Linked DNA regions of Callithrix jacchus. The protein of the gene in region 2 interacts with the protein of the main gene of each other region in a pairwise test. Links are inferred from orthologs where the notes say so. Each region holds a gene or a part of one and is shown on either strand. Other genes may lie near its edges. The genes, in order: NELFA and PRR22.

Region 1 (3,143 bases), on a different chromosome or scaffold from region 2:
CTGTCAGAAATTAAATGCAGACTGAAATGTGCCGATTGGTGTCTAAACTTCATATAAGGTCGGATCCCCTTTAGGAATACTGGGTGCTGTCACCAGGTTTGATAGTTAGACTTAAAAACTTGAAATTCACTTTTGGGGGGATATACTCAACTAGAGACTTGAGACTTGCCGGTTCGGGAAAATAGCATTTAAAGTGGAAAGCTGTGTTTGGAAAATAGTGTATGAGTATTTTTGTATTAAAAACATTTTAAAGGCTTTTTTTCTTAACTTATTTTATATGGGATTGTGTTTTTTTTCCAGTTGCTCAGCATTGCAAGGCGCTGATGGCGCTGATGCCTTGCACTCCGGAGGGGTGGGGCTCCCTGCCCTGACCGTGCCATTTTGCCTTTGTCCTGCTGGGGAGAGGCAGTGCCACCTTGGGACACAGAACAAATACCGGAAGTAGCAGGGGTGAAACGGTCTGGGGGAGAAAGAACCGCTGCTGTCCCTCAGCCCTGAGCCAGGTGGTCCCCAGGCCCGCAGCCAGGTCCAGGGAGTACCCCGAGGGCTGATCCTACCTGTTCCCCTCCCTGTGAGCCACGGTGTGCTAGAGAGCTGCCAGCCTGGGACCACCCCGTCCCGATGGCCGCTCAGGGAGGGACTGGGTCCCCAGTGCAGGGAGGACAAGCTAGCCCGAAACACAGCTATGGTGGCTTTCTTTAGAAAAGCTAAACTTTAATTGTTCAGATAATTTTACAATGAAAATAAGTACCCAAAGACCGTCTGTCTTAAATGTCCACAACTGTACAAAAGATGAATACAAAATTCCCCGGCAGGCACTGGCAGGGGATGAGGCCACCGTCTCCCACACTCTGGTGTGGCTGGGTGTCCCTGCCCACCCCCAGCATCCCCGATGCCACCTTGGTCCCCTCAACCTTGGGAGTGGGAGGGCACTGCCCCCGCGAGGGAAGGTCCTTACTCGCTGTCAGTGGGATTTCTTTAGGAAAAGACTTTTAAAACAGAGCTGTCAGTAAAATTAGGAAGTTGTAACTTTTTTGGTTAACTTACTACATTCAAAAATATAATGCTGAGTCCAAAAAGTGTCTTAAATCACGCAAAAAGGAACTCATATTAAATTTTAAAAGAAGCCCAAAACACCCCGGAGAAACGCATCCAGCATTGAAACAGGCCGGGTCAGCAGCAGGGCAGTGGCCAGGGCAGCTGGGGGGCCTCGTGTACCAGCTGTCTGCCGGCCGGGCACTTATGCCGGCAAAGCTGTCGTCCCTCGGAGCCCCCGGCTGAGGGCCTGCCATGAGGCAGGCGGCCTAGGACACGTTGGTCATGGGCTTGTACTTCTTGAAGCGCGTCCACTGGCCCGTGGCATAGTTCATCTCGAACACCGTGTCCACCAGCATGGTGGTGCTGCCCTGGCCATCCGCCTTGGGCAGGTCCTCCGTGTGCTCGCTCAGCTTGATCTGGATCACGTCCCCCTGCTCCTGGCACGGGTTCTCTGCAGAGGGCAGGGGCTGCTGGGTGGGTGTCTGGGGCCAAAGCGCCCACCCCCCCACCCGGCCCGGTGCACCCCAGCCCCTGCCGCATCCACACACCTCGGGAGCCGGCCATGAAGCCCAGGATGAGGGCTTTCTCGGGCCGCGTGACTTTGTTGGCTGTCTTGAACATCTCCTGGGCGGCGAACATCTGCTCTCGCTACAGCGGGCAGAGGGGTGTGGGTGCCGGGGCTCCGCCAGGACCACCTCCTGCCTCCCCCTCTGCAGGCACTATGGCACCCCCACCCCAGGGCATACCTACCGTGAGGGACAGGTTCTTCTTAGGCTGTTGCTGGGCAGGAGGCTGGGTCTGTGGGGCCACCATGGCCACCGGGGGTGTCTGAGTGGTAGGGGCGACAGCCGGGGGTGTGGTGGGCGTCAGAGGTGAGGTGGGGGCTGCAGGCGTGGGTGTGGCAGGGCTCAGGCCACTGTTGTACATGGATGCCCGCTGCTTGAACTGTGCCGGCAGCGTGGGGCTCGGGGCACTGGGTTCCTCTGGTGGGCGGCTGGCTTCCCGGGAAGATGGGGCTGCAGGCAGACCAGGGTCTGGTGAGGGAGCTGGACCCCCGCCCCCCGTCCCCAGACTCTAGTGCTCCTGGAGGTGACAGGCTCAGCTCCCCTTCTCTGTCCTGCTACCCTCTAATGAGAACTCCCGGTGGCCCCAGCTGGAGGAGCAAGGCCAGTAGTCTCAGGTCTTTCCAGACCCGCAGATAAGATGTCTGGACTCTGGCCAGCTGCTGGCCTGTGGTGGGTCCCCCATACCGGAGGCACTGATGGGGAGAGGAAGGCTGTGTCCGCAGGCCCAACGCCTGGCCTGAGGTGCCGTGAGCCTGGCAGTGCCTTCCATCTGGGAGGGGATGGCCCTTGGCTCCCCTCCCCACTACCCAGCAACAAGAGCTAGGTCACCTGGCAGAAGACTCCTTGCGAGCCCAATCCCCTTCCTGCCATATCCCCTGGGGCAGCTGCCTGTGCCCAGGACAGGCAGAGGGGCAAAACAGCTGGTTTAGGTCTTGGAACTTGAGCTGACTAGCAGGGCACCTGCCCCCCGCACTGGCCGAGGCAGAAGGGGGACAACAGAGATGCAGCAGTGAGAACTGCAGTCCTGGCGGCGCCTGGGGGGTGGCAGCTTGGCTGGTTTCAGGCTGGGGCCAGCAGACTCACCTGGGGGCGTCTCTGAGCTGGGGATGTAGGAGGAGGCGGGAACCACGCTGGGCGTGGAGGGCAGGTAGCTTGTGGAGGGCAGGGCAGGCTCATTGTTCAGGGACCCGAGTTTCTGGAAGACAGTTTAGGGTCCCTCCCAGAAGAGGCCCTGCTTCCAGCGCGTGCCCCTCACGGCCCACAGGCTCTGGCTGGAGCAGGACGGCGGGGGCCACTCTCCCGGGCTCCCTGGGCTGAGCAATGGGACCCCTGGCGCCCCAGCAGAGTCTGGGACTGAGTGGCTCCCGGGTAGGAGACGGGAGGGGTTGGGGAGCCCAAACTGCCCATCTCTGGGGACTGAAGGAAAGAGCAGTGCTTTTTCTTACCACAAAAGCATTGATAAAAGAAATTCATGTTAAGGAACCGGAACATGCAGCGATGCGACGGGAAGGAGCTCACTACCCAGAAGTGACCCGTGCT
Region 2 (3,981 bases):
AGTTTCCCCATCCCCGCCCCTGCCACACGCCAGCATCTGCTCCCACCCTCAGATCTCAGACCATCCGGTGAAGCCCCCTGTACCCACCTGTCTGAACAAGAGCCTGGCCCTTCCCACCCTCCCTGGAGTGGCTGTGGCTTCCTGGGGACAGGAGGCACCTGGGCGGGGAGCTGGAGGCTGCTTCTCCAGCACTGCCTTGACAGCTGTCTCCAAGGAAGTTCCTGGCCCTCTCGGGGCAGTCTGGCTTTTCCCCACCAAACAACGGTGTGAAAATCCTTAGAACATGTTAATCTGGGGGGCAGCTCAGGAGGGCCCTGCCTCCGCCAGCAGAGAATGATCTTCCAGGGCTGGGACTCAAGGGGTTTAGGGTGTCCTGTAATTCCAGGGCCTCCCTGCTAGGCTCTGGAGGCCTCACTAGTCCTCGGGATGACGGGGCGAGGGGCCAGGCGTGCACCTCCAGGCCCCTCCGCATCCCCAAGGCTACTGCATGGACGTGGACCTAAAAGGTGAAATGCGCTTTAATGGGGGGCAGCTCCCAGGTCCTGCCTGGGCCCCAGGGGAGTGGCGCTGGCTGGGCCTGCGGGCTGGCTGGCCTTCCCTCCCGGTTTTCCCTTCTTGGCTGTTGAGGCCTTTCTCTTGCGGGACAGAATGGGGGCCACAGCATTGGCAACAGGGGGCCCCTGGCGGGGCAGCTGCTCCTCCTCCAGCGCCTTGAAGTTGAAGAGGTCGACACTGGACACAGTGTCCAGGATCTCAGGCACGCTGTAGTCGAAGGACAGCAGCTCCTCAGGCAGACACAGCGAGCGGATGTCGTCGGCCGAGTTCCTGCCACCGTCGTCAGGCAGGGCCGGCCTGGGGACCTTGCGCGGGGTCCTGTTGGGCTTGGTGGTGCCCGGCAGGCAGTCAAAGAGCTTCATGGCGTCCTCCAGCAGAACCTTGTCTGGGAGTGCCTTGGCCTCGCCCGCCCCCAGCAGGGCCCCCTCCTTGGCCTTGGCCACCTTGGGCTCACTGGAGCTGGGTGGGTACAGCAGCACCCCGGGCCCGGCCCCACTGCCTTGCGGCTCCTTGGTGGGGAAGTCCAGGGGTTCAGGCCCAGGGAAGTGGCCAGGGTGGCCCTGGAGGCAGCTGTAGGTGTCCAGGGGCAGCATGGACTCTGCAGGCCGCGGGATGAGTACAGGGGGCAGCTTGTTCTCCTTGGGGGGTGGGGCTGGCGGTGGGGCCATGCCTTCCTCGAGTGGCAGCAGGGGTAGCTCCATGAAGGCGGTGGGCCCCGAGTCCCCTGCAAAGCCCAGAGCCTCTGGCCCAGGGCCCTCAGGTGGGAAGTAGGGCAGGAGGAACTGGGGCACCCCGGGTACTGGCTGGTAGTGGGGGTATGGGGGCCGCCCCGGGAGGTAGCTGCCTGGGGTGGAAGGGCACCCCATTGGCCCCCTGCCACTCGCTGCCGGCTTGTACAGGGCCGACTGGCCCAGGTCGGGAGTGGTCCACTCGATCCGATAGATGCGGGGGTCGAAAAAGCACCCGCATGGGGCCATCTGGAAACCTGTGGGTGGCAGGCGGGTGCCCTGAGAGCAGCTGCCACCTGAGGGGCCCAGCCCAAGCCTGGGGGCCTGTCTGGGGGATGCCACGAGAACCTTGCCATTGGGGAGCCCCTTTGGGGATGGGAGACAGATACCACGTTGGGGCCCTGGCTGGGTGATGGGGACAGTTTGTCTTTGGGGCTCACTGGGGGACCTGTGTGAAGCATGGGGAGCAGAGGCCATGTCATTGGGCCCCCACCTAGGGGTGGGGCAGGGCAAGCTGGGCCCCAACACCCAAACCCACTCCCAGCCTCGTCAGGGCGCAGGGGGAGGCTGGTACCTGCTGGAGGGGCTGGAAACACCTCTTCCTCTGGGTTTGGGGGGTGATAGAGGTTCAGTGAGGCTGTGGACAAAGGTGGCCGCGTGGGTGGGGCCCTGAGGTGGGTAGGCCCCCAAGCTCTCCCCAGCAGGCGTCCACACCAACCCCATTATACCCATGGCGGGAGGAGGCTCGGTGCAGGTGGGAGCGGACTGGCTGCCCAGCACCTCAGCCCCCTCCAGACTCTGGGGGCTGAAGCCTTCCTGGGGAACTGCAGAAGCATAGAAGGATTTGGGGTGCTGCATGGGGTGGCGGGAGGCCTGGTCCAGGGGGCAGTGGGAGCACAAGTGGCCCAACCAGAGCACAGGCTGAGAACCTGGCGGGGTTCTGTTTGCCTGGTTGCTCTGGGCAGCGGATTCCAGCCTGCAGCCTGCTCACTGGTTGGGGTTCTGGGTGTCGGGGGTGGGCAGGGGGGAGACGGTGGCGGAGACGGTCATCACCAGGGGCAGGAGGACCCTGGGCCAGGCCTTCCGCCTCTTCCAGCAACACCCCTCTAACAGCTTCGAGGCTGCCTCATCCAGGCAGGCTGCCCTGATCCACACCCACGCAGGCTGAGGCCCCCCAGGTTTTGCACCTGCTACCTTCTTGGGGGTCAAGGTCTCTCTGGGGGCAGCACTGAGGCGGCCAAAAGGTTTGGGGAAGGTGGGGGCTGGGGATGGGCAGCTTCAGGGTCACAGAAAGGCCTCGATCTTAAAAGAATAAAATTTATTGTCCTCTTCTTCCCTCAGGGTACCCCGGGGAAGCCCCTGATGCTACTTGTAGGCATTGGCCTTGTGCTTCGGCAAGAAGGTGAAGTTGGGGGGCACCGGCCCAAGGAGCATCTCGCTGTGGGAGGGCGGGGGAAAGCAGAGTCAGGCCCCAGGCCTGCGCAGTGCCCCCCATGACCCAAGGCGCCCCGACTCCAGCCCCCGGGCACCTGATGCGGATCCAGTCATCTGCCTTCTGGCTGGCCATCAGCGTCTCCAGGTAGTCTCGGCCCAGGTAGTAGGGTGGCCGTTCATTGATCCTCTGTGGGAGCCGCTCCAGCAGCCCCACGGGCACGTACCTGTGGGCGGGCGGGTGGCAGGATCCAGTCAACCCAGCTAGCCCTCCCCAGCCACGGCCCACACAGTGCCCACCCTGGCCAGCCCCGGTGCCCACCGGCACAGGAAGGATAGCCACTGGAGCAGGAAGCGCCGGGTCTTCTCCACGCCCTGCGTGTCCGAGCCCCAGTGCTCCAGGCCGTAGTTGGTGAAGTCCCGCAGGATGTCCAGGCGCTCGGACGACGAGATGTCCCAGTGCCGCTGCTCCTTGATCTCTGTGAACAGCCACGGCTTGAGGAGGGCGCCCCTGCAGGGCGGGTGACAGTCAGTGGTCGCAGTCACCAGCCTGCCTGGGATCCTGTGGCCCAGACCACGAAACCTGCAAGCCTAATATGCCTCCCAGCTGTGGCACACAACCTTCAAAGCCCAGGACTTTTTCTATTTTTTGTTTTTGAGATGGAGTCCTGCTCTTGTAGCCCAGGCTGAGGTGCAGTGGCGCAATCCTGGCTCACCGCAAACTCCGCCTCCTGGGTTCAAGCGACTCTCCTGCCTCAGCCTCCCAAGTAGTTGGGATTACAGGCTTGTACCACCACCCCTGGCTAATTTTTGTATTTTTAGTAGAGACAGGGTTTCGCCATGTTGGCAAGGCTGGTCTTGAACTCCTGATCTCGGGTAATCCACCTGGCTCAGCCTCCCAATGTGCTGGGATTACAGACATGAGCCATCAAACCCGCCCAAAGCCCAGGACTTTCAAACCACAATGATCAGATCCCACAGCAGCAGCAATTCCCAGTCCCCTCCGCCCCAAAACAGCCGCAACTCCTGACATCGCTCTCTCCCACTCCCATCTCGGGACCATCCCGCCACAGAGCAGGCATGGGCGATGGCGCGTCGGGTTCGGGGCGCCGCTGCTGTGCATGAAGCTGGAGCTGGATCTTGGTAACCCCCCAGGCACTTACCGGGCAATCATGACCCCGGCGACACCAGTCTGCATGGCGTGGTTGGCGTCCTCAAATGACAAGATGTCCCCGTTTCCTGAGGAGATGGAAGCTGGGGTCTCAGG

What was found.
Region 1: the proteins of PRR22 (region 2) and NELFA interact in a two-hybrid assay, tested with the Homo sapiens proteins (2 studies listed by BioGRID). The two-hybrid records come from large-scale screens. The link is inferred for Callithrix jacchus from reciprocal best matches to the Homo sapiens genes PRR22 and NELFA.

What each region holds. Positions count from the first base shown.
Region 1 is NC_133504.1:191,171,668-191,174,810, reverse strand, and holds the end of NELFA (negative elongation factor A), read right to left. Parts: intron 2,800-3,143; coding exon 2,688-2,799; intron 2,055-2,687; coding exon 1,789-2,054; intron 1,687-1,788; coding exon 1,587-1,686; intron 1,490-1,586; coding exon 1,305-1,489; 3' UTR 694-1,304; downstream 1-693. UniProt on the Homo sapiens protein: Essential component of the NELF complex, a complex that negatively regulates the elongation of transcription by RNA polymerase II.
Region 2 is NC_133523.1:5,474,584-5,478,564, forward strand, and holds PRR22 (proline-rich protein 22), read right to left. Parts: upstream 2,186-3,981; 5' UTR 2,142-2,185; coding exon 2,012-2,141; intron 1,921-2,011; coding exon 1,858-1,920; intron 1,541-1,857; coding exon 519-1,540; 3' UTR 501-518; downstream 1-500. Other genes in the region: DUS3L (tRNA-dihydrouridine(47) synthase [NAD(P)(+)]-like), read right to left, coding at 2,649-2,721, 2,813-2,941, 3,037-3,225, 3,878-3,953.